Stegostoma tigrinum: one gene and its partner. The protein of the gene in region 1 purifies or fractionates together with the protein of each later gene. This does not show direct contact. Links are inferred from orthologs where the notes say so. Each region holds a gene or a part of one and is shown in the gene's direction. Other genes may lie near its edges. The genes, in order: park7 and eno1a.

Evidence for each region.
Region 2: the proteins of park7 (region 1) and eno1a fractionate together in Homo sapiens (co-fractionation; 3 studies listed by BioGRID). This does not show direct contact. The link is inferred for Stegostoma tigrinum from reciprocal best matches to the Homo sapiens genes PARK7 and ENO1.

Annotation. Positions count from the first base shown.
Region 1 is NC_081381.1:26,094,765-26,111,197, reverse strand, and holds the start of park7 (Parkinson disease protein 7 homolog), read left to right. Parts: upstream 1-10,027; 5' UTR 10,028-10,071; coding exon 10,072-10,203; intron 10,204-15,234; coding exon 15,235-15,336; intron 15,337-16,433. UniProt on the Homo sapiens protein: Multifunctional protein with controversial molecular function which plays an important role in cell protection against oxidative stress and cell death acting as oxidative stress sensor and redox-sensitive chaperone and protease.
Region 2 is NC_081381.1:15,889,431-15,905,746, forward strand, and holds the start of eno1a (enolase 1a, (alpha)), read left to right. Parts: upstream 1-9,530; 5' UTR 9,531-9,662; intron 9,663-9,766; exon of another isoform or gene 9,767-9,884; intron 9,885-9,896; exon of another isoform or gene 9,897-10,084; intron 10,085-16,316. UniProt on the Homo sapiens protein: Glycolytic enzyme the catalyzes the conversion of 2-phosphoglycerate to phosphoenolpyruvate. In addition to glycolysis, involved in various processes such as growth control, hypoxia tolerance and allergic responses.

The DNA of each region.
Region 1 (16,433 bases):
GCAGAGAGGGGTATGCCCTCCACTCCGCTTCCTGCAGTTAATGACCAGCTCCTTAATTTTGTTGATATTGATGGAGAGATTGTTGTCTTCACACTATGCTACTAAGCACTCAATCTGTTTCCTGTATACTGTCCCATCATTATTTGGGACCCGGCCTACAAAGGTGGTGTCATCAGCAAGCTTGTAGATGGAGTTGACGTGAAATTTGGCCACACAGTTGTAAGTGTTTAAGGACTATAGAAGGGGGCTGAGTACATGATCTTGCAGGACAGCAATGTTGAGAATTGTAGTGGAGGAAGTGTTGTTGCATGTTATTGATTATGGTCTATGGGTCAGAAAGTAGAAGGTCCAGTTAGTGAGGGGAGAACTGAGACCTATGTCTTGGAATTTAGAGACGAGGTAGGTTGGAATTATGATTTTGAAGGAGGAACTGTGGAGACTGACATGATCATCTTTGTTATCCAGATGATCCAAGATGAGTGTAGGACAGGCGATGGCATCTGCAGTGGACCTATTGCACTCGTAAGAGAATTTCAAAGGATCCAGGCAATTTGGCTGGCTGGAGTTGATGTGAGACATGACTAGCCTCTTGAAGCACTTCATAATTGTGGAGGTCAGAGCCACCAGGCTGTAGCCATTAAGGTACACTGCATGATTTTTCTTTGGCAACGGTATGATGGTACTCTTCTTGAAGCAAGTGAGTTCTTCAGATGGTGGTAAGGAGAGGTTAAATATGTCAACAAATACTCCCACTACCTGGTCTGCACGGGATCTGAGTTCACAGCCAGTCACTTTCTGTGGGTTCGCTCACAAGAAAGCCAATCTAACATCTGTGGCAACAACCAAGCACACAGGTGCATCCGAGGCTGTTGGGGTATGTCACATTTTTTCACTGACATTCTGCTTAAAGTTAGCAAAAAATGCATTGAGCTCATTGAATAGGGATGTACTGTTGCTGTGTTTCATTTGATTTCATTTTTTAGCCTCTTTTGTCGTGTAAACCTTGCACAAACAATGAGTGTCCATGTGATTGGTCTGGGTCTCAAACTTAGTTTGGTATTGCCTCTTGGTGTCTCTGGCCTTACAAAAGTCATACGTGGATTTCCTGTATAGGTCAAGGTTGCTCAGCTTGTACACCTCAGACCTGGACTTCAGTCGGAAGTGGATCTCCCAGTTCATCCATGGTTTCCACCTGGGGAGCATTTGGATTAACTTCTTCTGCACATTTACGAATGATGTCTGTGATGGGAATGGCATACCTGTTTAGGCTGGCCACTGGGTCCTTAAATATGGACCAGTCCACAAACTTTAAGCAGCCCCGTGGAAGCCCTTCCATTGCCTCTGACCAACACTGCACTACTTTCTGTATTGGGTCCTTGCACTTCAATTTCTGCTTGTAAGCTGGGAGGAGGACCACAACGTTATGATCTGATTTTCCAAGAGGCAGACAGAGAATGGAGTGGAAGGCATATTTGATGGTTGTATTGCAATTCGACCTATGGTGGGACAGGAGAAGTGTTGTTGGTATTTTGGTAGCATCTCCAACAAGTGAGAATATAACTATTACCTCATTACAGTCAATTATATTCCAATTATTGAATGTTTCAAGATCAAAACCCTGTAGGCTACTGTTGATCAGAAGCTGAAGAAAACTCTTAATCCTGTGGCTATAATAACAAATTTAAAGCTGGATATTCAGTAATGGATGGCTCACCTCCTGACTCCTCAAAGAACATCCACTATTGACAAGGCACATTAGGAGTATAATGGAATGCTTTTAGATCATAGAATCCCTACAGTGTGGAAACAGATCCTTTGGCCCAACAAGTCCACACTGACCTTCACAGCATTCCACCCAGACCCAGTCCCCCTATAACCCACCTAATCTACATATCCCTGAACACTATGGACAAGTTAACATGCCAATCCACCTAGCCTGCACATCTTTGGACTGTGGGAGGAAACCAGAGCACCTGGAGGAAAACCCACAGACACAGGAGAATGTGCAAACTCCACACAGACAGTCGCCTGAGGTTGGAATAAAACCCATGATTCCAGCACTGTGAAGCACCAATGCTAACCACTGAGCCATTGTTGACACCAGAAATAACTGTTACATTGACACTGTACATACAGTGAACACGCTTGTACAACGTTCCTTGGTCTTTAGTTTTAACAGAGGCAATGAGTATTCATTATCATAGTGACAATAGTTTTTAGCCCTGTGTTGTATTCTTCTGAGGAAGGGATCACTCGACACGAAACATTAACTTGGTTTTGGTTTTATGTTTGACATCTGGTGCCACTCTGTGGCCAACATGGTGCACTGCTGCAAACGGGCCTCCCTATGATGGAGAGCCAATGAATGAAGTACTCCACTGGGTGCACAGCATGTCAACAATTGGATACAAACTTGAGTTGAAGCACATTGGCAAGAGTCTGTTCATTGTGGAGATGTTTAAGAGACAATGGATACACACATGTGTGTGACGTGGAATTAATAGGAAATGCAGTTTAAGAAAAAGGGAATTAATTGTGACTAAAAACTTAAGGACCTCAGATGCTGTAAATCAGGAACAAAAACAGAAGTTGCTGAAAAATCTCAGCAAGTCTGGCAGCATCTGTGAAGAAAAAATTAGAGTTAACGTTTCGGGTCCAATGACCCTTCTTCAGAACTCTTTTTTTGCGTATACTTTGGGTCTAGATTGTTTAAGGTGCAGTGATGGCTTTTAGTAGAGTGATGCACTCTTCCTGTTGGATGTGGGAGATTAGGGAGAATTTCAATGTTCCTGGAGATTATGTCTGCAGGAAGTGTGTTTAGATGCAAATCCTATTGGATTGTATGGATTGGCAGTTAGAGGCAATGAGGGATTTACAGGAGTCAGGGATGGTGATGGATGGCAGTTTCAGGGAGGTTAAAAATATTTCAAATACAATTGGGTAGATGGATTACTCTTAGGAAATGTAGGAGGGGTAGTGCAGGAGTGTCCTGTAGCTATCGCCATCTCAAACATGTTTGCTGTTTTGGATAAGGGCATAATGGCCTTTCAGGACAATATAGCACTGACAGCCAGGCTTCTGGGATTCAGAGGGCCTCTACTGTGACGAGGGGTACATCAGGTGATTGATTGTGACAGGGGCACAAACATTTCTGCAGCTGACTGCAAGACGTCAGAATGGTATGTTGCTCCCCAGGTCAAGGATGTCTTGGGGAGAATGCAGATTTTTCTCAAAGTGGACAGCAACAAGTAGTACATCATTGTACACTTTTTGGTACCAATGACATAGGAAGAGAAAGGGACAAGGTTATGTAAACAGAATATAGGAAATTAACAGGAGGTTAAAAAGTAGGTCCTCGCAAGTAGTAATATCTGGATTACTCCTGGGGCCATGTGCTAGTGAGAGAAGAAGTAGGAGGATAGAGTAGATGCATGCATAGTTTAGGAGCTGGTGCAGGAAGCAGGGATTCACATTTTTGGATCATTGGAGTTTCTCCTGGGGCAGAAATGACTTGACAAGAAGAACGGGTTGTACTGAATTGGAAGCGGAGCAATATCCTGATGGGGAGATTTGCTTGTGATACTCAGAAGGATTTAAACAAATAAGGGGGCTGGTCCTAAAGAGATAATGAGAAAGAAATGTCTGAGGCTACCACAGTACAGAATACAAGCAAGTTAAATAGTCAAGGCAGGCAAGAGCAAGGTAGTGAATGAGGTAAAACTGATAAATTAATCTGCATTTATTTCAGTGCAAGAGGCACTGATGAGTCAGATGAACTCAGGGCATAATTAGGAACATGGCAAAAAATTATATAGATAGAACTGAGAAATAAGAAAGGGATTATCACTTTATTGGGATTGTACTATAGGCCCCCCAATAGTCAGCAGGATATTGAGTAGCAAATTTGTAAGGAATCTGAGATATCTGTAAGAATAAGAGATAACAAGATGTGAAGCTGGATGAACACAGCAGGCCAAGCAACATCTCAGGAGCACAAAAGCTGACGTTTTGGGCCTAGACCCTTCATCAGAGAGCCTTTAGAGAATAATATGGTTGCAATGGTAGGAGATTTTAACATTCCAAACATAACACTAGAACTGCCATGGTGTTAAGGGCTTGGATGGAAAGGAATTTAAGTATGTACAAGAAAATTTTCTTAATTGGCATGTGGATTTACTTACCAGAGAAGGGGCAAAACTTGACCTTCTTTTGGGAAATAAGACAAGGCAAGTGACTGAGATGTGTGTGGGAGAGCACTTTGGGGCCACTGATCCTAATTTTATTAGTTTTAAAATAGTTATGGAAAAAGTTAACAAAGTGTTAAGCTGGATGAACACAGCAGGCCAAGCAGCACCTGTGCTCCTGAGATGCTGCTTGGCCTGCTGTGTTCATCCAGCTTCACACTTTGTTATCTTGGATTCTCCAGCATCTGCAGTTCCTGTCATCTATGGAAAACGTTAGACTGATTTAAAAGTTAACATTCTACATTGGATTAAGGCCAAGAACTTTCAAAAGTTGATTGGGAGAGGTTACTTGCAGGAAAAGGGATGGTTGGAAAGTAGGAGGCCTTTAAAGGTGTGGTAATGAGAGCCCAGAGAGAGTGGTCCTGTTAGTGTGAAGGGCATGACTGGCAGGTGTAGGGAATGCTGGATGAATTGATGCTCTCTTCAATGGGGTATATATTGGGTATAGATGGCTGGGATCAACGGTAAAAGAGTATTTGAGCAGCGGGAGTATACATAAGAGGCAAATCAAGAGGGCAAAAACAGGACGTGAGGTATCTTTGGCAAATAGGGTTAAGAAGAATCCAAAGGGATTCTACAAATACAAAATGTAAGTAGGGAGAGAACAGGGCCTCTTAAAGCTTAACAAGGCTATCTGTGTATGGAACCATAGGAGGTGGGTGAGATACTAAATGAGTAGTTTGCATCAGTAGTAACTGTGGAGAAGAAATATGGAAGCTAGAGAACTTAAGGAAATAAATAGTGATATTTTTAAGAGCCCATATTACGGAGGAGGAGGTGCTTGACATCTAAAAATGCATAAAGATGGATAAATCCCTGGGACGTAATCAGATATACCCAGAACTAAACAGGAAGTTGGGGAAGAGATTGCTGGGTCCCTTGCTGAGATATTTGAATGGGTACATGAATAGGTAGAGTTTAGAGGGAAATGAGCCAAATGCTGGCAAATGGGACAAGACCAGTTTAATATATCTGGTTGGCATTTACAAGTTGGACCAAAGGGTCTGTTTCATTGCTGTCTAATTCTTTTTTTAAAAAAATTATTCATTTTTGAGATGTGGCATCCCTAACTGGCTAGCATTTATTATCCATCCCTAGTTACCCTTAGGTGGTTATGAACTGCCTTCTTGAACTACTGCAGTCATCTTGCTGTGGGTTGACTCACAATGTCATTTGGGAGGGAATTCTAGGATTTCGACCCAAAGATAGTGAAGGATTGGCAATATATTTCCAAGTCAGGATGGAGGAAGGCTTAAAGGAGAAATTGAAGGCAGTGGTGTTCCTGTGTATGTAGTGCCCTTGTCCTTCTAGATGGAAGTGGTCGTGGGTTTGAAAGGTGCTGTCTGAGGATCTTTGGTGAATTTCTGCAGTGCATATTGGAAATAGTACACAGTGCTGCTACTGAGTGTCAATGATGATGGGAGTGAATGCTTGTGGGTGTAGTGCCAAACAAGCGGGCTGTTTTGTCCTATATTGTGTCAAGCTTCTTGAGTGTTGTTGGGGCTTCACTCATCCAAGCAAATAGAGAGTATTCCATCACATTCCTGACTTGGGCCTTGTGGATGGTGGTTAGAATTTGGGAAGTCAGGAGATGTGTTACTCACCACAGTGTTCCTAGACTCTGACCTGCTCTTGTAGCTGCTGCATTTATTGGTGAATTTAGTTGAGTTTTTGGTCAATGATAAACCCAGGGTGTTGACGGTGCTTGATTCAGTGATGGTAATATCATTGAATGTCAAGGGGTGGTGGTTAGTTTGTCACTTAATGGTGAATGCCATAACCTGGCATTTGTTACTTGCCACTTTTCAGCTCAAGTCTGGATATTTATAAAGATTTTGTTGCATTTGGACATGAACTACTTCAGTATCTGAGGAGTCACAAATGGTGCTGAACATTGTGTGATCATCTGTGAACGTCTCCACTTCTGACCTTATGATGGGGGGAAAGTCATTGATGAAGCAGCTGAAGATGGCGGGGCATAGGACACTACGCTGAGGAACTCCTGTAGAGATGTCCCAGAGCTGAGACAACTGACCTCCAACAACCACAATCATCTTCCTATGTGTCAGGTATGACTCTAACCAACAGAATTTGCCCCTGAATTCCCATTGATTCCAATTTTTCCAGGGATCCTTGATGTCACTTGATTGAATGCAGCCTTGATGTCAAGGGCTGTCGCTTTCACCTCACCTCTGTAATTCACCTCTTTTGTCCATGTTTGAACCAAGACTGTAATGAGGTCAGGAGCCAAGTGGTCCTGGCGGAACCCAAACTGGGCACAATTGAGCAGGTTATTGCTGAGCAGATGCTGCTAAATAGTACTTGATAGACATCTTCCATCACTTTACTCATGATCAACAGTAGACTGATGGGGCAGTGATTGGCCTTTTGAATTTGTCCTGCTTTTTATGTACAGAATGTACTTGGGCAATTTTCAAATTGTCAGGTAGATGCCTGTACCTGTACCTTTATATGCTTGTAACTGTACTGGAACAGCTTGGCTAGGGGAATAGCAAGTTCTGGAGCACAAGTCTTCAGTACTATTGCCGGAATGTTGCCAAGCCTGTAGTCTTTGTAGTATCCAGTGTCTTTGACTGTTTCTTGATTTAACATAGAATGAATTGAGTTGGCTGAAGACTTGTATCGTGATGCTGGAACCACTGAAGGAGGCCAAGATGGATAATCCACTTGGGACTTCTGGCTGAAGATTGCTGTGAAAGCTTCAACCTTATCTTTTGCACTGATGTGCTGGGCTCTTCCATCATTGAGGAAACCAACGTTTGTGGAGCCTCCTCCACTGGTGAGTTGTTTAATTGTCCACCACCATTTACGACTGAATGTAGCAGGACTGCAGATCATAAAGCTGATCCTTTGGCTGTGGGATCGCTTAGCTCTGTCTATCTGTCTGGCTCTGCTTATGTTGCTTGTCATGAAAGTAGTCCTGTCTGGTCGCTTCGCCAGGCTGTCACCTCATTTTTAGGTATGCCTGGTGCAATTCTTGTCATGCCCTCCAGCACTCTCCATTGATCCAGGGTTGATCCCCTGGCTTGATGGTAATTGTTGGGTAGGGGATTTGCTGGGGCATGAGTTTACAGGTTGTCCTAGAGTACAGTTCTGCTGCTGTTGATGGCCCCCAATGCCTCCTTAATGGCTAGCCTTGAGTTGCTAGATCTGTTCAAAGTCTGTCCCATTCAGCATAGTGATAGTGTCAAACAACACGATCAAAGTTATTCTTAATGTGAAGGCCAGATTTCATCTCCACAAGGATGATGGTGGTTGCTGTTATGAATACAATCATGAACAGATGCATCTGCTGCTGGCAGATTGTTAAGGATGAGGTCAAGTATGTTTTTCCCTCCTGTTGGTTACCTCACCATCTGCTGCAGACCCAGTCTGGCAGCTATGTCCCTTGGGATCTGACCAGCTTTATCAGTGGTACTGCTGCTGAACCATAGATATTGAAATCCCCCACCTAGAATATATGCTGTGCCCTTGCCGTCCTCAGTGCTTCCTCCAAGTATTGCTCAACATGGGGAGTACTGATTCATCAGCTGAAAGAGAGTAGTATGTGGTAATCACCTGGAGGTCACCTTGCACATTTTAACTCCATGGCTCCAGAGTCAATATTGAGGACTCCCAGATCAACTCTCTTCCAACTGCATACCATCATGGTTGCTACCGCTGCTGGGCCTGTCCTGCTGTTGGGACAGGGCATGTCCAGGGATGGTGATGTCGATGTCTGGGACATTGTCTGTAAGGTATGATTCCGTGAGTATGACCACGTCAAGCTGTTGTTTGACTAGTCTGTGAGACAGCTCTCCCAATTTTGGCACTAGGCCCCCAGATGTTACTGAGGAGGACTTTGCAAGCTTGACAGTGCTGTTTCTGTCTTTTCTGGTGCCTAGGACGATGCCAGTTGATCTATCCAGTTTCATGTCTTTGATACTTTGCAATGACTGGTCCAACTGAATGGCTTGCTAGGCCATTTTGGAGGGAAATTTCAAGTCAATCACATTGCTGCGGCTCTGGAGTCACATGTAGGCCAGAGCAGGTGAGAATGGCAGATTTTCAGACTTTAATGAACCAGATGGGTTTTTCTGACAATCGACAATGATTTCAAGGGTCATAAGTAGATTCTTAATTCCAGAATTTTAAAAAATGAATTCAAATTCCACTATCTGCTGTAGCAGGATTCAAACCCTGGTCCCTAGAATATTATCTGGGTCTCTGGATTAGTTCTGAGGAAGGGTCCTCAGACCCAAAATGTTAACTCTGATTTCTCTCCACAGATGCTGCCATACCTGCTGAGCTTTTCCAGCAACTTCTGTTTTTGTTTCTGATTCACAGCATTCACAATTCTTTTCACCCCCTCTGGATTAATAGTCTAGCAATAATACCACTAAGTTAATGCCTTCCAATGACTCTATTTACAAGAAAATAGTTATAATACCCTTACTGGGCTACTTACAAATTCTACATCGCAAACTCAATCACTTCCACCTAGGTCAACGTAGAAAGATGATAATTTGATGATGGGACAAGATTCTGACATGATGTATTTGGAAAAAGTTCTGTCACGCACAGAAACACTGATCGTAAAGGTGCAGGTATAGCTAGTCCAAAAAAGTATAAGTCCAAAAACCTGATACAATGCTACCCTAGGAGGTTATTCTACATTGGGATGAATATTGTAAACATTGCTGTGTTGGTTAATTTGAAAGATATAAGAATCGCTAAAGATTATTCTAAAATGATATGGCCGTTACAGAGTTGCAAGCATTACTTGGAAGATGTAATATATCCACAGGGACACCTGGTCCAAACAATTCAGGCCAGTGTTTATCTATGTGGACCTCCTCCCATTCTCCATCATCCAAAACTTTCTGATCCTTTCTCCGTCATGCTCTTATCTGGCTCCCTCTTATATATATCTATATCGTTCATCATAATCATTCCCAGTGGTAATGTTCTGCATTATTAGCTCTGGGTAACCAAGTTATTCTCAATTCCTTTTTGTGTTCATTGGGTTGCTCCTTTATATTAGGCTTCTTCCCCACAAGTGGAAAATCTCAAAGCATGATTTTAATTTGGTGTAAATGGATAGACTTAGAATAGGTTGAAATTCAGCCTTCTGTAACTATTTTGTCCCAAAAACGGAGTGAATATTTGTAGCTTGACTATTGGTACCATAAATAAGCTGCTAATATTGCAGCACTCTCATGCGCCACTATACTCGGATGGAGTTAATTGTTGGAATTAGGGACAAGTGGTTAGGTTTAGGATTGTGAAGGTTTCTATGGAGACTTTGGGGTTTGGATTGTGCTAATTAGGCAATTCGGGGTTAGGGCGTTGGAGTCAGAACCTGCTATTACAGTGATTTTATGACTGGGTACAAAATATCTTGAAGCAGTGATATACAATATTGCAAATTTGGAAATTTGAAGTAAATACTGGAAATATCAGCTGATCAGCCTATATCTCTAGAGGGAGAAATTGACGTATTGTCGCAGCACAATACATCAATTCTAATGGAGGGTCATTGACTGACTTGAAATGTTAAATTTGCTTCTCTCCGTTGCATCAGCACTGATGATGCCAGACTTGCTGAACGATTCTAGAAGTTTCTGTTTCTACTTTTGACGCTGTCAGTACTGCAGTGCGGCTATTTTGAATTTGTGGATGTGAGATTGTTCGCTGAGCTGGAAGGTTCGTTTTCAGCGAGCAATCTCACATCCAGAACCTCAACCTGAGCTACAAATCTTCTCAAAATTTTGAATTTGTGGCGCGGTGTGTTAGGGGCCTACTCGGGAGTCGTAGCCCGACCCGTATGATGCAACGCGCAAGCGAACGAGCCGGCACTTGTTCCAAGATGGCGGCCAAGCGTGCGCTGTTGATTTTGGCTAAAGGGGCCGAGGAGATGGAAACGGTGATTCCTACAGACCTAATGCGTCGGGCTGGGGTGAGCAGGCACATTTGTGGTTTGATAATAAATCTATTTCAGTTTAAAGTGGGAAATGGCGTAGTTTTTGTGCGTTTGGTCGTCAGCCGTGATTGGCAGGCAAAATATCCAATCAGTGTAGAGCAGCCCTGGTCCCGCCTGGCTGTGCAGTCAATGGGATTGCAACTGTTTGACCTGGATTAACCTCTTAGTAAATTTCAGAGGTGGGGGACATATTGATCTTTCTCTCGTTACTGCCTCAGTTAGTCTTTAAATAACCAAATGCATTTGTGGAGTTGTGCTGCAGCTGGAAATAGTTCAGCAGTTATGTTTCAGACCTAGGAATCCAGAAGCCCAATAATTCATGGTTCAAATTCTAGCTTTGCAGTTGGAAATTCATTGGAGCATAAGAATAGGTCATTTGGTTGGTAAAGTCTGATCAGTCACTTTCTCAATCAAGGATTCATAGTTAGAATTCTGCAGCATGGAAAGAGGTCGCCAGCCTACTTTATTCGTGCTTCTCGTCAAGCACATATTTGCATTTCCTGTACTTCACCAGTAGCCTTGCAACTTGTCGTTGGATGATATAGGTATCTATATGTTACTACTTCGTGCTGTTTGTTAACAAAATCTTTGTTTTGAAATCATTTGTTAACTTAGCACTTGTTGTTTCTTCTGGAAGAAGTTTCCAAATTTATGCTACTCTTTACATGCAGACGTTCCCTAATTTCACTCCAGAAGAAACGCACTCAACTTTCTTGAGTAGTCCGTAAGACCTAGACACGCCACTTTGTATCTAATCCATCTTTTCCTGTTGATTCAAACTTATTAAGGTATCGGGTAATATCTGAATATCAAGGAGTACAATTCTCAGTTATTTCATCTGTCTTTGCAGTTTAAAATATGAGGGAACAAGTATAATTCATGTAAATTATAAGCACTACATTCTGTCCAATCCTAATGTATCTTCCCTAATGCTGCCAGAAGTCCAATTTTGGTCTAATTGGCTTTCTGTATGCCTGAAGCATGCATTGTACTCCCTTGAGTTGTAGTCTTGTTGGTATAAAAACCAGGATTCCATTAGCCTTGGCAAGTATGTATATGAAATTGCCCATGTTTGAAACAAGATTGTAAAGGGTCCTGGAGCTAAGTGCCCTTGGAGCCTGAGTTGAACATAAGTGATCAAGCTGTTGCTGAATGTTGATTGGTAACATTGTTGATGAGAACTTGCATCACTTTGATTGAGAATAGACTGGTTCAGTCATTGACTAGATTGGTCTTGCCTTGTTTTTGTGAACAGAAAAGCTTGGCAGTTTCCTATTGTCAGAGATGCTGTTGTCAGGGCCTTTTTAATGTATCCTGTGCCTTCAACTATTTCCTGATATGAAATGGAATGAAAGGAATTCTGTGAGAAGTGACATCTGTGATGAAGGTGCCTCATGTTGGGAATGGACTATCCATTCTGTTCTGCTGGCTGAAGATGATGTAAAATCATCAGCTTTGACTTTTGAAAACTGAAAGAACTGCGGATGCTGTGAATCAGGAACAAAAATAAAGTTACTGGAAAAGCTCAGCAGGTCTGGCAGCATTTGTTAAGGGAAAAACGGTTAGCATTTTGGGTCCAGTGACCCTTCCTCAGAATGTGTGTGTGAGCTTTGACTTTTGCTTTGATGCCCTACCCTCCCCTGTCACTGGAGGTGGCGTGTTTTATGCAGGTGCCTTCTTTAGTTAGGTATTTACTTGTCTCTTCACCATTTTAGGATACAGAATTTTGACCTTTTTATTTATCTGTGGGATTTCTTTCCTCACCAGTATGCTGACTTTGGAGTTGAGCATGCAAATAGTCCTATATAGTTGCAACAGATTGGCACTTCAATTTTAAATACTTCTGAAGCTGTTCCTGCTTGATGAAGAATATGTTTGGTTATGTTTTGTGGTTTACTACAATTTTTCTGATTAGCTCACTCTGCCTCATTGATTCCCAGTTTTAAGCTGCTAGATCTGTTCTAATTCTAGCTCATTTAGCATGAATAGGAAGACAAAACTCTGCTGGGTATCAGAAATAATGGGAACTGCAGATGCTGGAGAATCCAAGATAACAAAGTGTGAAGCTGGATGAACACAGCAGGCCAAGCAGCATCTTAGGAGCACAAAAGCTGACGTTTCGGGCCTAGATGTTACTCTGCTGGGTATCTCCAGTACGAAGTGGGGACTGATTCTGCACAATGACTTTGTAATACTGTGTCATGGACCAAACACCAAGTAGATTGGTGAGGGTGAATCATTTTTTTTCCATCCTGTTTCTCTTCGCCTGCTGGAAGCCATGTCTTTGAGATCTCACTTAGTAGTAAAGTTACTGAGCCACCTAATTATGGAAAGTCTTCCACCAAGCATACACTCTGTCTTAATCCAGTTGGTGACCAACAGAACTGCAGGTAGTAATCATAAAGCAGTTTCTCTCCTCTGGTTTGAACTGATGCTGAGATCTCATGGGGCGCACAGACCATATTGAGAACTCCCAGGGACACTTCCTCCAGTGTAGCACTGTGCTGCTGCTTCTGAGTCTGGCCTGTCAGTGGGACAGGACATGCCTAAAAGTGGTGATGTCGGTGTCTCGGACATTGGCAGTAAGGTAAGGATTTGATGAGTATGACTGTCAGGCTGTTGCTGGATAAGTCCTTGGGGCAGCTGTCCCAATTTTGGCACAAACTCTTGGATATTGGGAATGAGGATTTTGAAATGTTGCCTGGGTAGTTGGTGCTTTTGATGCCTGGTGTTGTGTTCAATTTATTCTCCTCTGTTACTGCTGTGGTGGTTTCATACAATTGACTGGATTGCTATGCAATTTTAGAGGAACGTTAAGAGTCAGCCAAACTTTCATTGAATCTGGAGTCCTATGTAAACTTGAATAGTTAAGGCTAGTGGATTTTGTTCCCTGTTGGACATTAATAAATCAGTGAATGAATCCTATGGGTGACTTTGTATTTTAAAAAAAGCCACTGATTCTGCTATTAAAATGTCACTTTAGCGAAAACATGTCTTGCATTCATGTCTCCATTTTGCATCTAAACTGTCTTGGTGGTTACAAGTATTATGGCTACAATGACCGAAAAGTACACTATGGGGAAAGTCTTGTGTTTAGCAAGTTCACCAAATGCCAAAGGAATGACTTTCTGGTCAACCTGATATTCAAGGTGGTTGAGGGTAGAACTTTGAACAGGATTCCTGATCCGTGACGATTCATTTGAAAGCAACATCACCAATACAATGATTACTCATTGCACTGGAGTGGTGAATAGATTACATGCTGCGGCAGCCATACTTGTTGAACTTCAAGTATTCGACTATATAGTGCTAGCTGGCTACTAATTAAGCAAAGCTGAAATTGTAATAAACAAAATAGTGGAAATGCTCATGTTAGGCTGCATCTGCGGAGAGGGATAGAAAAGAACCATTAACACTTCAAATCAATGCCTTTTAATCAGGACTGGGGGAAAAAATACAGATTTTGTGGGATTTGAAACCTGATCAAATACAAGAAGGAAAATAAAAACTTAAAGAAGGGAAAATAAAAGCCAGAGGAGGTGAGCAGGGTTTTAAAACAAGACAATTTGAAATTGCAATGGAGTGGAGAGCAAAGATTCAAATTCTTGTTTTGAAAAAACTTACTAAACATGTTTAACAAATTGTATGAAGGTTTTTAAATGTATTTTAATTTTTGTATCTTAAGTCTCTTTTACAGAGATTTACTCTGGTTATTATGTATCCACAAGTTAAACGTTAACCAAATTGTCAGACTAAATCACTAAAAGGTGAACAATCTGGGATTGTGTGGGTGAAGTTTGCGATTATGTAACCTCCTGTTGGTAGACTTCAAGAGAGTGAATTTTTAAAATCTGGTTTTAATTGTAATCTACTATTGAATTTGAATATTGTTTATAGCTTTTCCACCTCTTTCTATTCCATTATCTCCCTACATTGTCCACTGCTGAGGTAGGAGGTGTGATTTGATGCTATTTTAAGTTTGCTATTGCTGTACATTAGAAAGACAGCTGTCACAGGACTGTCTTACTAACATGTCTTTCATGCTCCTTGCTGTAATTCCAACTAATATCACATGGAAAGTCCGTTATGTCTGCCTACTGTGTCCAGTTCTGGTTGCCCACTTATAGGAGGAATATGATCAAGCTGGAGAGGGTTCAGAAGAGATTTACCAGGACGTTTCCAGGTATAGAAAGTTTGAGTTATAAAGAGAGGCTGGATAGGCAGGGACTTTTTCACAGGAGTGTAGGAGGTTGCAAGGTGACTAAAATAAGTTTATAAAATAATAAGAGATTTAGGTAGAGTTAATGATCATTGTTTTTTTCTTAGGTTGGGGGATTTCAAGACTGGGGGCACATCTTTAAGGTGAGAGGAGAAGATTTAAAAAAGACATGAAGCAAATTTCTTACTCGGAGGGTGATTCACGTGTGGAATGAACTGCCAGAGAAAGTGGTGAATGTGGGTAAAATTACAATGTTTAAAAGACATTTGGACAAGTACAGGTTTGGAGGGATATGGGCCAGGAACAGGTAGGTGGGATTAGTTTAGTTTGGGATTACGTTCAGCATGTATTGGTTGTTTCCGTGCTGTATGACTCTATAAGACAAGAACATGGCCTATGTCTCAAGTTATTTTAACCTTCTGTTATTCTTACACAAGATAAGAATATAGTATACTGAAGCTAGTGCTATTTAATTGCCTTAATTTTCTCCTTGCATTGGTCCTACTGCTAATGCTAGTGATGAGGTTTGTCATTGCTTATGATCGCTCAATACTGCGTGGATCTTTTTGGGCCTGGAACGACCTGTTCTTGAATTGTACTCTGTTTTCTCACATTTGAAGTGGATGCTGAATAACATTCTTACATGTTTTCTTTTGCTTCACCAGCATTCCATTGGCACTCCTGAGTAGCTGAGCATTCATGGTGCCTTACTGCTGGGCCGTGGTGAACCTCCGCAATGACCTTTCAACAGGCGGTGATAATCAATGTTGTTCTTTTTTATATTTCAGATAACAGTAACGGTGGCAGGGCTGACATGTAAAGAACCTATAACGTGCAGTCGTGATGTGGTTATTTGCCCTGACTCCAGCTTACAAGATGCAGCTAAACAGGTACATTGTTTCTGCTTCAGTGACAAGTAAAGGCAAATAGGGTAGTTCCTTTTATTTTGAATATTGCTTAATTAAACTGTGTCAAATGAACTTTAAGTTCATACTCTAATTCTGCAGCATTTTGTAATTGGCATTGGCTTTCTTCCAGATTAAAGTTTGTTGTACACTTGCAGGCTTGATGCAGATTTAGTGTACATCAAGGTGCCTGATCATGGACTACAGTTGTGTTAAGCTGAGGTCCTCTCTGACCTATTGGTTATAATGCTGAGCTATTTTGAGCTGTTTATTTTTGAGCAGCCTGGCAATATCACAGTTTAAAAACAAATTAATCACTGACTATGTTGGCAAGGCCCATATTTATTGCCCTACTTTTAAATGTCCTCAAGACACTGAGTAGTGAACTACTCCAGTCCTTGTATGTATTCATCCATAGTTTTCATTGGTAGGGAAACTGGAGATTGTGACCTTGAGAGAGAGATGTATTTCCAGGTCGAAATATGGGTGACTTGAAGGAGAACTCGAAGGTGGTGAGGTTGATAAATGCATGCTGCTCTTGTTCTTCTCTGATTTGGAAGAATCTTGACAAGTTGCTATGGTGTGGCTTGTAGTTGATGTCGACTGTTGCTATTATGTGCTAGTGGTGGAAGGAGTGAATGTCTGAAGAAAAAATGGAATGGCGATCAAACAGGCTGCTTTGTTTAGGGTGCTGTTAAGCTCCTTGTATTGTTGGATCTGCTGTTATCTATCCAATGGGGAGACGATTGGCTAAACTGGATTTGTCGTACTTTTTGTGGACACGACATAACATGAGCAATTTTCTACTTTTGTCAGGTAGATGTCAGTGTTGTATGTGTACTAGAACAGGCCAGAGACGCAGCCATCTCCTGGAGTACGAGTCTTCATCACAGTAGCTGGGATGTTATCAGAGCTCACTGCTTTAGCTTTATCCAGTGCACGCAACGTTTATTGAATTTGCTGACATTTTTATTTTTAACTCGCTTGTGGGACATGAGCATTGCCAGCTGGGTCACGTTTATTGCCTGTCTCTGGTTGCTGGTGAACTGCCTTTTTGCATCACTGCAGTCCATATGCTTAGG
Region 2 (16,316 bases), about 10 Mb from region 1:
AAAGAATGCAGGGCTACAGGGATAGAGTAGGTGATGCATCTGGGTGGGATGCTTTCTGGAGGGTCAGTATGGAGTTGATGGGCTGAATGGCCTGCCTCCACACTGTAGGGATTCTATGATTCTAAAGGTCCAAATGGATTTCATCCTAGGTCTTAAAACATTGATCCTAGGTATGAATAATGGTTTTATTATTATGTATATTTTATGGTGAAGAATAACGTGAAAAGCTTGATACTGTGCAATTTTGAATAGTTTAAGAATAACATTTTTAGAAATGATATAGCTCAAACAGTCAATAATCCTGCCACCACCTCTTCACCACCACCAGCCCCAAACCCAACCAACTCTGAACTCGCCAGTCCTCAGGCACTATCTTATGCCACTGTGCCTACCTCACTGACGTTGCGTCTGCTGATGTATCAGCCAATGCCAGGTTCCATGTTTGCCCCTCTGCCAGCTACACCCTCCTTGTCAGCTTGGACCCTGGTCCAGGCTCACCAGCTGGCCCATCATCGTCCGCCAGAGTTCCACCAGCCACTGCCATGCCCCGAACCCCGAAGAAGCTACCTTCCTACTGCCTCCTGCCTTCCTTGTCAATCCCATCACCGCTGGTGCCACTGTGACCAAGCACTCCCCAGAAGGTAGGTAGTAGAAAAAACCAAAAGCAAAGAAAGAAATGATAAAAGAAGAATGAGAAAAGAAAGTTGACAGAGTGGATGAGACCTGGGCTCAGGTAGTAGATGGAATAGTATTAGTTTTCCAAAATTTCCCAGATATAGGAAAGGCTCCATCAAGCGTGACATAGTGGTTCAGTGTTTAGCACTGCAGCCTCACAGCACTAGGAACCTGGGTTTTAATCCAGCTTCAGGTGACTGTCTGTGTGGAGTTGGCATGTTCTCCTTGCCGTGGAAAATATAGAGTTACAGATTTGGGATGGGTCTGGATGGGATGCTCTTCAGAGGATCAGTGTAGACTCAGTGGGCTGAATGGCCTGTTTCCACACTTTACGGATTCCATTATTCTAAACGGGAAATTAGCAAATATAATCCTCCCACATATTCAAGAAGAAAGAGAGGTGGAAAACGATACCTAGCTTATCAGCATTATGTTAGAAGCATTCATTTTCTATAGGAGATATAGGTGTGCATTTGGAAAACCTCCAGGTGATAAGAAAGCATCAGTATATTTTGTCACACAGAGAAATGAAACATTTTTACTGATAAGCGCATAATGAGGATTTTAGAGATAATACAGTGTGGTGCTGGAGGAATGCAGCGGGCCAGACAGCAGCAGAGGGGCAGGAAAGTTGATGTTTTGGGTTGGGACCCTTCTTCAGAAATGGGGAGGGGAAAGGGAGCTGGGAAATAAATAGAGAGAGGAGGGGAAGGTAGGTGGGATAGTGATAGATGAGTGCAGGTAGGCAGTGGTGGGGATTGTTCAGTGGGAATGGTGGGGTGAATAGGTGGGAGAGAAGATGAACAGGTTGTGTCAGGTCAAGGAGGTGGGGCTGAGAGGAACGGTTGGACATGGGATGAGCCTGAGGGTGGGGAGGTGTTAAAACTGATGAATGCCATGTTTAGGCCATCGGGTTGTAGACTCCCAAGGTGGAATATGATGTCCTACTCCTCCAGTTTCCACGTGGCGTCATTGTGACACTGGAGGAGGCCCAGGATGGATATGTCACCCAGGGAGTGGGAGAGGGGGTTAATATGATTGGCAACCGGAAGGTGATGCCATTTGTCACGAACAGAGTGCAGATGCTGTATGAAATGGACTCTAAGTCTACACTTGATCTCACCGATGTAGACGAGGCCACAGTGAGAGCAGCGGTTTACAGATGATAAGTTCACAGATGTGCAGGTGAACTCCTGTCGGTTGTAAGAAGTTTGTTTTGGGCCTTGAATGGAGGTGAGTGAGGAGATGAGGACGTGAAGGGGCAGGTATAGTACTTCCGGCAGGTTGCAGAGAAATGGTGCCAGGTTGGTGGGGTTAGTGGGGAGTGTGGAGTGGACGAGGAAGTTGTGGAGAGAGTGGTCCCTTCAAAGGCAGATGGGACTGGGGAGGGAAATATATCTTTGGTGGTGGGGTCGGATTGCAGGTGGCAGAAATGGCGGAGAATGATACATTAGATGCAGAGGTTGGTGTGGTGATATGTGAGAAGAAGGGGGATTTTGTCTGTATTTTTGTTGGGAGAAATGGGGTTTGAGGGCTGAGGTGTGGGAAATGCAAGAGATGCAGTTGAGAGCATTTTCGATCACTGGTTGGGGTATGTTATGGTCCTTGAAATAGTATGACATTTGGGATGCGCGGGAGTGGAATGCCCCATCTTCAGGGCAGAGGTGGAGGAATTGGGAGTAGGGGATTGCATTCTTGCAGGACAGTGGGTGAGAGGAGGTGTAGTCCTGGTAGCTATGGGAGTCGGTGGGCTTGAAATAAATGTCAGTTTCGAGGTGGTCACCAGAGATGGAGATGGAGATGGGGATGGAGATCCAGAAAGGAGAGGGGGGTATCAGAGATGGTCGAGGTGAACATGAGGTTGGGATGAAAGGTATTAGTGAAGTTGACGAACTGTTCAAGCAGAGGAAGAGGTGGGGAATAGTGCCATTGTAACAGCGGAAAAGGGACTGTTCCATATACCCTATGAAGATGCAGGCCCATGCGGGTGCCCATGGCCACCCCCTTAATCTGTAGGAAGTGGGAGGAGTTATAGGAGAATTTGTTCTATTATATCCTGTTCTATATCCTGTTGGCAGGAATGTAAAAGGAAAACTTTTTAAATTTATTTTCTCTATTTTTTTTGTACCTAAGATTTGTACCTAGGTACTTTGTTCCTAAGATGTGCCATGTGTTGGAAACATTGGACAGTTTTCACCGTTCTCCTGTACTTTTGTAACTGGAGGAGACATGACAAGAAGCCTAATTTAAAATTCTAAATTCTAAAGCAGTCTGGAGGGGCTGAAAGGTTTATTTCTGCTCCTATTTTGTATGTTTGTATGTATCTGAATATAAAACACTGATTTGTCTGAACAGAGCTCTGCACAAGTCAAACTCTTTCCTGACTAGCACCAGGAATTTCTTTCTTTCAGATTTTCCTCAATTGTATCTGTTTCATGTCTCAGTCAAGAGATGATACCTCCAAAAACACGGTGAAGCTCATCATTAGAACTCCACTACACTCTCAAAGTTGTGGGGGCAGGGTGCGGTTGAACTGGCACAAATTTCTGCCTGAGAGATATGAGATCCAAGCTGGTACCAATGCAGATGTTTACACCAACAGAAAAGACGACACCCAGCTTGCTGTAACATTGAAGGTTGTTTGGCAAGCGAGGAATCGATTTTTTTTGTGGATTCATTAGATGCGAGCATCCTTGGCTGAGCCAGCATTTGTTGACCATCCCTAGTTGCCATTGAGAAGGTGGTGCTGCTGCTGCCTTTTTGAACTACCACAGCCCATTTGATGTATGTAAACCCACAATACTATTAAGAAAGAAACTCTAGGATTTAGACGCAGCAACACTGAAGGAACGCTGGTTGCTTTCAAACCCAAACTGCCTACCAGCGGTAAATGTTTTCAGCTGCTGAGATACAAAGTACAAGTAACTTTAGTTATCAATTTTGAGATCTGACTTTTGTTATGTGATAGAGTATAAGATTGGCACTGAATTTTTTTTTACAATCGGCCAATTAGATCAGGATTTTTATCCATTAGAGTGAATAAATCAAAAATACCGGTCACGTTTGTGTAAAGGAACACCAATGAGAAATTCCTACTTATAACGAAACAAAATAGAAATAAAAGAAAGGGTAAGTTTGATTACTGTCTCTCTTGAACACTGGCCGTCACAGTGGAATGGACAGATTCATTTGAGTCGTGAATTTGCTGCACACTGCGGAACACACTGGAAATAAGTTCAAGCTTCTGCTGAGCATCCAGCGCCCAATGTAGATAAAGAGTAATCATGGTTCATGCAAATGCTGATCACTGCAGTACACAGTGGAATTAAACTGTAAAGAATAAGTTTGATTCCTGTAGCTGAGCACTGGAGAACGTCATGGAATTAAAAGATAAGTCTGATTCCTGCTGCTGAACACTGGAATTCACAGTAGAATTAAACCATATGTTTGGGTCCTTCAGCTGATAAACACTGGAGGGTACACTGCAGTGAGAGGGTAAGTGTGAGCCCCTCCAAGTTTGTTGAGCTCTCAGTGCCCAGTGCAATGAGAGGGTAAGTGTGACCCCGCTGTGTTTGTTGATCTTTCAGTGCCCAGTGCAATGAGAGGGCAAATGTGACCCCCCCCCCATGTTTGTTAATCTCTCAGTGCCCAGTGCAATGTGAGGGTAAGTGTGACCCCCCAACCATGTTTGTTGATCTCTCAGTGCCCAGTGCAATGTGAGGGTAAATGTGACCCCCCTGTGTTTGTTGATCTCTCAGTGCCCAGTGCAATGAGAGGGCAAATGTGACCCCCCCCCCATGTTTGATGATCTCTCAGTGCCCAGTGCAATGTGAGGGTAAATGTGACCCCCCCCCCCATGTTTGATGATCTCTCAGTGCCCAGTGCAATGTGAGGGTAAATGTGACCCCCCCCCGTCTTTGTTGATCTCTCAGTGCCCAGTGCAATGAGAGGGTAAATGTGACCCACCCATGTTTGTTGATCTCTCAGTGCCCAGTGCAATGAGAGGGTAAATGTGACCCCCCCATGTTTGTTGATCTCTCAGTGCCCAGTGCAATGTGAGGGTAAGTGTGGCCCTCCTGTGTTTGTTGATCTCTCAGTGCCCAGTGCAATGTGAGGGTAAATGTGACGCCCCCCCACCGTCTTTGTTGATCTCTCAGTGCCCAGTGCAATGTGAGGGTAAATGTGACCCCCCAACCGTGTTTGTTGATCTCTCAGTGCCCAGTGCAATGTGAGGGTAAGTGTGGCCCTCCTGTGTTTGTTGATCTCTCAGTGCCCAGTGCAATGTGAGGGTAAATGTGACCCCCCAACCGTGTTTGTTGATCTCTCAGTGCCCAGTGCAATGTGAGGGTAAGTGTGACCCCCCTGTGTTTGTTGATCTCTCAGTGCCCAGTGCAATGTGAGGGTAAGTGTGACCCCCCTGTGTTTGTTGATCTCTCAGTGCCCAGTGCAATGAGAGGGCAAATGTGACCCCCCCCCCATGTTTGTTGATCTCTCAGTGCCCAGTGCAATGTGAGGGTAAATGTGACCCCCCCCCGTCTTTGTTGATCTCTCAGTGCCCAGTGCAATGAGAGGGTAAATGTGACACCCCTGTGTTTGTTGATCTCTCAGTGCCCAGTGCAATGTGAGGGTAAATGTGACCCCCCTGTGTTTGTTGATCTCTCAGTGCCCAGTGCAAGGTGAGGGTAAATGTGACCCCCCTGTGTTTGTTGATCTCTCAGTGCCCAGTGCAATGTGAGGGTAAATGTGACCCCCCTGTGTTTGTTGATCTCTCAGTGCCCAGTGCAATGTGAGGGTAAATGTGATCCCCCTGTGTTTGTTGATCTCTCAGTGCCCAGTGCAATGTGAGGGTAAGTGTGACCCCCCTGTGTTTGTTGATCTCTCAGTGCCCAGTGCAATGTGAGGGTAATTGTGACCCCCCCCCCCCCCCGTCTTTGTTGATCTCTCAGTGCCCAGTGCAATGAGAGGGTAAATGTGACCCCCCCATGTTTGTTGATCTCTCAGTGCCCAGTGCAATGTAAGGGTAAGTGTGACCCCCCCATGTTTGTTGATCTCTCAGTGCCCAGTGCAATGTGAGGGTAAGTGTGGCCCTCCTGTGTTTGTTGATCTCTCAGTGCCCAGTGCAATGTGAGGGTAAGTGTGAACCCCCCCCACCGTGTTTGTTAAGCTCTCAGTGCCCAGTGCAATGTGAGGGTAAATGTGACCCCCCAACCGTGTTTGTTGATCTCTCAGTGCCCAGTGCAATGTGAGGGTAAATGTGACCCCCCTGTGTTTGTTGATCTCTCAGTGCCCAGTGCAATGTGAGGGTAAGTATGACCCCCCTGTGTTTGTTGATCTCTCAGTGCCCAGTGCAATGAGAGGGCAATGTGACCCCCCCCCATGTTTGTTGATCTCTCAGTGCCCAGTGCAATGTGAGGGTAAGTGTGACCCCCCCTGTGTTTGTTGATCTCTCAGTGCCCAGTGCAATGTGAGGGTAAGTGTGACCCCCCTGTGTTTGTTAAGCTCTCAGTGCCCAGTGCAATGTGAGGGTAAGTGTGACCCCCCCTGTGTTTGTTGATCTCTCAGTGCCCAGTGAAATGTGAGGGTAAGTGTGACCCCCCTGTGTTTGATGATCTCTCAGTGCCCAGTGCAATGTGAGGGTAAGTGTGACCCCCCTCTGTTTGTTGATCTCTCAGTGCCCAGTGCAATGTGAGGGTAAATGTGACCCCTCTGTGTTTGTTGATCTCTCAATGCCCAGTGCAATGTGAAGGTAAATGTGACCCCCCTGTGTTTGTTGATCTCTCAGTGCCCAGTGCAATGTGAGGGTAAATGTGACCCCCCTGTGTTTGTTGATCTCTCAGTGCCCAGTGCAGTGTGAGGGTAAGTGTGACCCCCCTGTGTTTGTTGATCTCTCAGTGCCCAGTGCAATGTGAGGGTAAATGTGACCCCCCTGTGTTTGTTGATCTCTCAGTGCCCAGTGCAATGTGAGGGTAAGTGTGACCCCCCTGTGTTTGTTAAGCTCTCAGTGCCCAGTGCAATGTGAGGGTAAGTGTTACCCCCCTGTGTTTGTTGATCTCTCAGTGCCCAGTGCAATGTGAGGGTAAGTGTGACCCCCCTGTGTTTGTTGATCTCTCAGTGCCCAGTGCAATGTGAGGGTAAATGTGACCCCCCCCATGTTTGTTGATCTCTCAGTGCCCAGTGCAATGTGAGGGTAAATGTGACCCCCCCCCCCCGTCTTTGTTGATCTCTCAGTGCCCAGTGCAATGTGAGGGTAAATGTGACCCCCCAACCGTGTTTGTTGATCTCTCAGTGCCCAGTGCAATGTGAGGGTAAATGTGACCCCCCCTGTGTTTGTTGATCTCTCAGTGCCCAGTGCAATGTGAGGGTAAGTGTGACCCCCCTGTGTTTGTTGATCTCTCAGTGCCCGGTGCAATGTGAGGGTAAGTGTGACCCCCCTGTGTTTGTTGATCTCTCAGTGCCCAGTGCAATGAGAGGGCAAATGTGACCCCCCCCCCCATGTTTGTTGATCTCTCAGTGCCCAGTGCAATGTGAGGGTAAATGTGACCCCCCCCCCGTCTTTGTTGATCTCTCAGTGCCCAGTGCAATGAGAGGGTAAATGTGACCCCCCAATGTTTGTTGATCTCTCAGTGCCCAGTGCAATGTGAGGGTAAGTGTGACCCCCCCATGTTTGTTGATCTCTCAGTGCCCAGTGCAATGTGAGGGTAAGTGTGGCCCTCCTGTGTTTGTTGATCTCTCAGTGCCCAGTGCAATGTGAGGGTAAGTGTGAACCCCCCCCACCGTGTTTGTTGATCTCTCAGTGCCCAGTGCAATGTGAGGGTAAATGTGACCCCCCAACCGTGTTTGTTGATCTCTCAGTGCCCAGTGCACTGTGAGGGTAAGTATGACCCCCCTGTGTTTGTTGATCTCTCAGTGCCCAGTGCAATGAGAGGGCAATGTGACCCCCCCTCCATGTTTGTTGATCTCTCAGTGCCCAGTGCAATGTGAGGGTAAGTGTGACCCGCCCTGTGTTTGTTGATCTCTCAGTGCCCAGTGCAATGTGAGGGTAAGTGTGACCCCCCTGTGTTTGTTAAGCTCTCAGTGCCCAGTGCAATGTGAGGGTAAGTGTGACCCCCCCTGTGTTTGTTGATCTCTCAGTGCCCAGTGCAATGTGAGGGTAAGTGTGACCCCCCTGTGTTTGTTGATCTCTCAGTGCCCAGTGCAATGTGAGGGTAAATGTGACCCCTCTGTGTTTGTTGATCTCTCAATGCCCAGTGCAATGTAAAGGTAAATGTGACCCCCCTGTGTTTGTTGATCTCTCAGTGCCCAGTGCAATGTGAGGGTAAATGTGACCCCCCTGTGTTTGTTGATCTCTCAGTGCCCAGTGCAATGTGAGGGTAAATGTGACCCCCCTGTGTTTGTTGATCTCTCAGTGCCCAGTGCAATGTGAGGGTAAATGTGACCCCCCTGTGTTTGTTGATCTCTCAGTGCCCAGTGCAATGTGAGAGTAAGTGTGACCCCCCTGTGTTTGTTGATCTCTCAGTGCCCAGTGCAATGTGAGGGTAAATGTGACCCCCCCGTGTTTGTTGATCTCTCAGTGCCCAGTGCAATGTGAGGGTAAATGTGACCCCCCTGTGTTTGTTGATCTCTCAGTGCCCAGTGCAATGTGAGGGTAAATGTGATCCCCCTGTGTTTGTTGATCTCTCAGTGCCCAGTGCAATGTGAGGGTAAATGTGACCCCCCTGTGTTTGTTGATCTCTCAGTGCCCAGTGCAATGTGAGGGTAAGTGTGACCCCCCCATGTTTGTTGATCTCTCAGTGCCCAGTGCAATGTGAGGGTAAGTGTGAACCCCCCCATGTTTGTTGATCTCTCAGTGCCCAGTGCAATGTGAGGGTAAGTGTGACCCCCCTGTGTTTGTTGATCTCTCAGTGCCCAGTGCAATGTGAGGGTAAGTGTGACCCCCCTGTGTTTGTTGATCTCTCAGTGCCCAGTGCAATGTGAGGGTAAGTGTGACCCCCCTGTGTTTGTTGATCTCTCAGTGCCCAGTGCAATGTGAGGGTAAATGTGACCCCCCTGTGTTTGTTGATCTCTCAGTGCCCAGTGCAATGTGAGGGTAAATGTGACCCCCCCCTGTGTTTGTTGATCTCTCAGTGCCCAGTGCAATGTGAGGGTAAATGTGACCCCCCTGTGTTTGTTGATCTCTCAGTGCCCAGTGCAATGAGAGGGCAAATGTGACCCCCCCCCCCATGTTTGTTGATCTCTCAGTGCCCAGTGCAATGTGAGGGTAAATGTGACCCCCCTGTGTTTGTTGATCTCTCAGTGCCCAGTGCAATGTGAGGGTAAGTGTGACCCCCCTGTGTTTGTTGATCTCTCAGTGCCCAGTGCAATGTGAGGGTAAATGTGACCCCCCCCTGTGTTTGTTGATCTCTCAGTGCCCAGTGCAATGTGAGGGTAAGTGTGACCCCCCCTGTGTTTGTTGATCTCTCAGTGCCCAGTGCAATGTGAGGGTAAATGTGACCCCCCTGTGTTTGTTGATCTCTCAGTGCCCAGTGCAATGTGAGGGTAAGTGTGACCCCCCTGTGTTTGTTGATCTCTCAGTGCCCAGTGCAATGTGAGGGTAAGTGTGACCCCCCTGTGTTTGTTGATCTCTCAGTGCCCAGTGCAATGTGAGGGTAAATGTGACCCCCCCTGTGTTTGTTGATCTCTCAGTGCCCAGTGCAATGTGAGGGTAAGTGTGACCCCCCTGTGTTTGTTAAGCTCTCAGTGCCCAATGGAATCAATGCCAGCCCAGTGTCGTCGCACAGGGTGAGGTCAGACAGTGGCAGATGTCACTGTTTCCAGGGTTACTCATTGTTACGGTGCTGGAACGAGCCAATAAGAGCGGCGGCTGGGACTCGGTCGGTCTCTTTGTTGCGGCCGGGGCTCGTGTCCTTGTCGCGTCCTCAGCTGCTCTGCCCGTCTCTGCTGCTTCTGGCCCTTTCTCTCTCCCACCGCCTCCTCTCTGTGGGCAACAGGTACGCGCCGCTCCCCTCCTCTGGGGCGGGGGGGGATTAGCCAAGCAAGCAGTTACAAGTCTGCACCTTAATTTCGGCTTGGCCTCTTTGTTTTTCTTTGCAAGTGAGAACCTCCCCCAGGTCCAGGAGGAGCGTAAGCACAGCCGGAGCACGGAAGGGAGATCGTTCTGCCCATCCCGCCTGTACTGGCTCGTTTGACAGAGTTGCTGCTCGTTCAAGAAAGTCCGTGGCAAAGAGGGCGTTCCCTTACTTAGTTTGAATGAACTTCTCAAAACTGTTGAACGAAGTATTTTAACAGCTTTTAAAAGTGTATATATTTGCAAGCATTGGTGTCGATGGGGTGTGTAATATTGGCCTGTTTGCAGAACTGAGTCGGGCAGTGTTTTCCTGTCGGATTTGCTTTGGGATCGACAACGCTGCGGGTAACTGACCTGCAATTAGAAATGTACAGGATTTACCTTGTTTGTGAGTCAGTAACTAAGACTGTTTTATAGGCCCAAACAAGAAGGTTAACGTGCAGAAAATATGAGAAGAATCCCATTAATGGCTTGAGACTAAAAATAGGGAAATCCTAGTTATCTGCTAGTGTTCCTGCATTCGGGAGATCTGTGTTCGGTCGCCAGTGTAGTGTTGGAATTATGGATTTATGTGTATGCAGTGTTAAGGAAATAAGAACTGCTGTTGATGTGTTTGTAGTTTCGTAGTGTTCTCCCTAAAATGTTCGGGACTAGTCAGTTTTATTTCTTCTTGTATTTAAGGGCTAAATCTAGATTTAAGAGCGAGCACTTTGGATTTTTCGTCAATTCGAGTTTCCTGTGGTACAAGTTGAGGTCATTTTGTTTTGATTCACCCCAGTTCTACAGTTTGACAGTGCCAGAGGTCCCTGCAACTGTAGCAAACCGTCCAAGAACTTTCACGCCCACTAAAGATAACTTCTAAGATCTTCTAACCCGTATTGCGACAGCTCAGTCCACTTGACATGTAGCTGTTCCAATGTTTCTCACTCGGAGCGTAGAAACCTGCTCATCTGTACAGAATGGCCATGTCCTGACTGTTACTCTTGTTATACAATCCTATTTTTATGTCAGTAACAATTATACAACAAAATTAGAGATTGTTATGCCAGTTTCTTAACATTGTCTATTTTTAACTTCTGCAAAACTTGAAGAGCTAAATATCCCTCTGTCACCTTGTTTGTCTCCATGGCCTCTTAACTGACTCCCAATAATCCACAATTTAATGTGTGCAAACCTTTACCGCATGCATTCTGCGCTACACTGAATGCTATTTGTCCATTTAAAATGAAATAAAAGAACTGCAAATGCTAGAGATCTGAAACGAGAGAAACGGAAATTGCTGGAGAAACTGGTGAAGAATCACCCGACTCCAAACCTTAGCTCTGCTCTCTTCCCAAAAATGCTGTCAAATCTGCTCAGTTTTTGCAACAGTTTCCGTTCTTGTGCCATATGTTCACTGCTCTTTTCTGCATTGGATCCTGCTTCCTTCCCAATGTTTTCCTTCCCAATGTATTATTTCTAAAATCCTTGTCTATTTCCCACATCCCCTATCATTTCAATCCCCTCCAGACCTAGATCCTCTCCTGAGCATTCCGGTCTTCTCATTATATCTATTTGCTCCATCTCATGACCAAAGTTTCAACTGTCTTGGCTCTCAGTAACTGCTTCTAAAACCTTCCTCAATGAGGTAAATATCTTCTCAACCGAGTTTTTGGTCCACCTTCTCCCTCATCCCACATCTCCTCCCCCAACTCTCCCACTCTCCTAAACTGACGTGATTCCTCTTTCTTTGTCCCTCTCTGGGAATTGCTTTGGGATTAGTGTTATTGAGTGGCGAATGCACAACTTTCCACCTCTGCAGGCGATCTGTCATGTTTGTGCATCATGTGCCATCCTCACACATCCATCAGAACTCTCTGTGACATCCATCATCCAACTCTGCCCAGGTCGACCCCTCCTGCAGCCTTCCATTTTGCCCTCGAAACAAGATCCATGTAGCTTTACATTTCAGATCAACAAACCAGAATACTGACATAGTCTTTTCTCTGTGTCACTTTCAACAGTCTTTCTTAATTTGATTTGATTTATTATTGTCACATGTGTGTAGGTATAGTGAAAAGTTTTGTTTTGCTTGCAGTAGAGACAGATTATAATACAAAGAGCATTAGAGTAATAGAACAGTGACAACTACAATGTTATGGCTTCAGGGAAGGTGCACAGGGAGCAAGATCAACACTAAATTCAAAATTTGAGAGGGCTGTTCAGGAGTCTAATAACAGTGGGAAAGAAGCTGTTCTAGAATCTGTTGGCATGTGTGCTTAAGCTTTTGTATCTTTTAAGCTTTTGTATCTGTTCATTCTCACTGTTGCAATTTCAAGCACCTCTCAAAATTGATTAAGAATTTTAAATCTTCAACTGGGGGACCATTTCTAAAATAACATTACAATAAAATATTGAGAAAAGGAATTGCAAAGTACCGTGATAGAAACCGTATTGTCAAATGTTCAAGATTCACTCAGTTTTTCACTCATTCACTGCAACTTAGGAGCAGTTCTGTTAGTTAAAATAAAATCATGTTTTTAATTACTGCACAATTTGCAAATGACATTTTAGCCAATAATAATTATGAAGCCTTTCATGAAATCATTTAAGTAAACATTTGTCAACTATTGAAAATGTGGATTCTTTAGTGATGCAATGAGTTGTAGACCACGAGAAATAGGAACTGAAGTAGGCCATCCAACAGCATAATGGCTGACCCAACATTCCTCATGTCCACTTTCCTCCCATTTCCCTATAACCCTTGATTTCCCAACTGATCAAGAATTTATCTCAACCTTAAATGTACACAAGGACTCTGCCCCCACAGGGCAAGGAGTTCCAATGATTCACAACCTTCTGGGAGACGAAATTCTTCTTCATCTCAGTATTAAATTTGTGTTCTGTATTCTGAATCTATGCCCTCTGCTGCCTAGCCTCTCCCATGAGGGGAAACATCCTCACAGTATTTACCCTGTCAAGCCTTTTAAGAATCCTGTATGTCTCAATTAGACTAACCTGTCATTCTTCTAAGTTCCAATCTGTACCTGTTTAGCCTTTGCTGAGAAGACAATCCCTCCATTCCAGGGATCATCCTAGAGACCCTTCTCTGAACTGAAAAATTCATTTGGTTCAATGTTAAAAGAAATGTTGAATGTTGAAACCATCCCTCAGAATCTACCGAGTAATACCCTAGAGAATAACCCTAAGAAATCACTAGGTTGTGGCTGGATGTGAACATTACCAATGTAAATGAAGGATGCTGTTTGGCTACTTATTAATCCATGTGAAATATAAATTGACAAATCATTCTCATGCATTTTTATATCTAACCTAGTTATTTGCAGTAGCTATTCTTGATTTGGAACTAGTTAATCAGCCAGTCAATTCAAACATTGCATCCCGAAGATGTGTGAAAGGACAAATCCAAATTATTAGAGAAAATTGAAGTTGGACTCTCTTCATGGTGGTCTGCGGTTAATGCCAATTGACCCTGGTATCTCCATTAACACCGTTTGAATTGGTTTTCTTACCCCTCATGTACCATATAACTCAAAAGAAAGACTTTTATTTGTACAGTCCTTCTCAAAAAGCACATTTCACCACTGACTTTGAATAATGTTTATTGTGCAGTTGTCCAGAATATTTTCAAGCATGCACAAAAGATTTCTGATGGACTTTGTGCTCTTTTCGCTGTACTCCTGTATTCCTGTACTCGAGTGCATGTGACAATAAAATCTAAATCTGTTTCCAAACTGTGGTGGTCATGTTGGATAACAGACGCCCCTCAATCTGTAATTATGTCAGTACTTTGAAAGAATGAGGTTATTGAAACATTTTCTCAGTGATCTTGTCTTTCTTGGAAACATCTTACAAAGAAGGATAAACCAGGGACCTGGGTTAAGTCTTACCTGCTCCAAAGGTTCTCTGCACAGGTCGATTAGAAATATCTAGTGTACTTTGCAATAACAGGTGAGATAGACAGACATTTGATCCTGCAGGTAAGCAAGAATCAGGCAGTGTCATAGAGACAAAGAGATGTAGCAGCACAAAAACAGACCCTTCGGTCCAACTATTCCATGCCAACCAGATATCCTAAATTAATCTAGTCCCATTACCAGCATTTGGCCCATATCCCTCTAACGCTTCCTATTCATATATCCATCCAGATGCCTTTTATATGTTGTAATTGTACCAGCCTCCACCACCAGCTTTGGCAGCTCATTCTGTACACACACCACCCTTTGTGTGAAAACGTTGCCCCTTAGGTCCCTTTTAAATCTTGCCCCTCTTACCTTGAACTATGCCGTCTAGCTAAGGATTTCCCCACCCTCGGAAAAGACCATGTCTATTTATCCTATCCATGCCCCTCATGATTTCATGAACCTCTACATGGTCACCCCTCAACCTCCGACATGCCAGGGAAAATAGCCCCAGCCTATTCAGCTCTCTTGATAGCTCAAACCCTCCAACCCTGGCAACATCCTTGAAAATCTTTTCTGAACCTCTTCAAATTTCATAACATGCTTCCCATAGCGGGGAGATAACATTAGCACACAGTATTCTAAAAGTTGCCTAACCAATGTCCCATACAGCCACACTATGATCTCCCAACTCCTATACTCATTGCACTGACCAATAAAGGCAAGCATACCAAATGCCGCCTTCACTAGACTACGTGTGACTCCACTTTCAAGTGACTATGAACCTGTACTCCAAGGCCTCTTTGTTCATCAGCACTCCCCAATACCTTACCATTAAGTGTATAAGTCCTGCCCTGATTTGCCTTTCCGAAACGCAGCACACTGCATTTATCTAAATTAAACTTCATCTGCCTGTCCTCGGCCCAATGGGCCATTTGATCAAGAGAGGCCTGGAAAGTAAAGCTGAGATATGAAAGCAGACTTTGGAGACACAACCAACTCCGCTGCCTGTCTCTTATCTTCTTATAAGGTGGTTAACATCTGGAAAACTTTAGAGAATCAGCTCACTCACTAATATCTCCCCCTACCTCTCCTCTGGGCAGAAGGTCCTGAGGTCAAGTGGCTACTTCACTCAACACTCAGTTCTGCAATGATCAGAGGCATCATCTGTCAGATCAGACGTTAAAGTGGAGCCCAGCCCATCCTCCTTGCTTGATGTAAAAGATCCCATGCACTATTTTGAAGACAACCAGAGGACACCAATCCACAGTGTTCCATCCAATGTTTGTAACAGGATCTGGCCAAGACAATTTGAGAAAAATCACATCCTTTACATGAGACTCCAAGGTGTAGAGCTGGATGAACACAGCAGGCCAAACAGCTTCAGAGGAGCAGGAGGGCTGACCTTTCAGGCCTAGATCCTTCTTCAGAAATGCCTTGGCCAATTTTCTCATTCCTTCCTGTTCCCTACTTTCAAACCATTCACTACACTTAAAGAGATATTCAATTGACTGTAAAATGCCTTGGGCAACCTGCTGTTGTGAAGGGTGCTTTGTAGATGTGAGTCTGTTGTTTCCTTTTCTCCTGTATTCAGCTGTTGTCACAGTCTAATATTGATGTTGATTTGAAAGGATACCCCTTTCTAGTTTTTCAATTGCATGTTCTGTTTTGCCGCAATGATTTTGAAAGTGATGGCTTTGTGTGTGGGAATTCATTTGTCACAAACTTGATTGAGTTTTTTGAGGACATAACAAAAAAGACTGGTGACGACGGAGCAGCAGACGTTGTCTACATGGACTTTAGTTGAGTTGGTTAAGATGCATTTAGCAAACTTGCTTTCATTTCTCAGACCATTGAGCATTGGAGTTGAAACATAATGCTGAGGTAATACAGGACTTCGGTGAGGCATTTTGGAGTACTGTGTACAGTTCTAGTTGCCCTGCTGTAAGGAGGGTATTATTAAGTTGAAAAGGGTTCAGAAAATATTTGACAGAAAGATGCTGGAACTGGAGGGCATGAGTTATAAAGAGAGGCTGAACAGCTGGGACTTTTCTCACTGGACCACCGGAGGTTGGGAGGTGATGTTATAGGGGTTTACAAAATCATGAGGGCCGCAGATAAGGTGAATAGCAGGTGGTGAGTTCAAAACTATACGGCATATATTCAAGGTGAGAGGAGAAAGATTGAAAAGGGACCTGAGGGACAACTTCTTCACACAGAGGGTAGATTGTATGCGGAATGAACAGTCAGAGGAAGTGGTAGAGGCAGGTACAGTTACAACATTTAAAAGACTTTTGGACAGGTACGTGAGTAGGAAAGGTTTGGAGGGATATAGGCCAATTGCAGTCAAGTGGGACTTGTTTCATTTTGGAAATTTGGTCAGTGTGAATGAGTTGAACCAAGGGGTCTGTTTTTGTGCCGCATGACTCTGTGACTCTACGATGCTATGAGTTTACGGTCTGACCTTCTTGCACCAATAGCTTGTTTAATATCCCTCAAACACTGTATTAAGAGGATGCAGAATTCAAATCCTCCCACAGCCAATGAGGAACCCAGTTTCCAAGAGCTAGATGCTCCATATAAAGCTTCAGTTTCTAACCAGCTATTCCTTGCTGTTATTCGACACTCATGCATCTTCCTGTGTTAAATATTATGTAGTTGACCTTACATCAAGG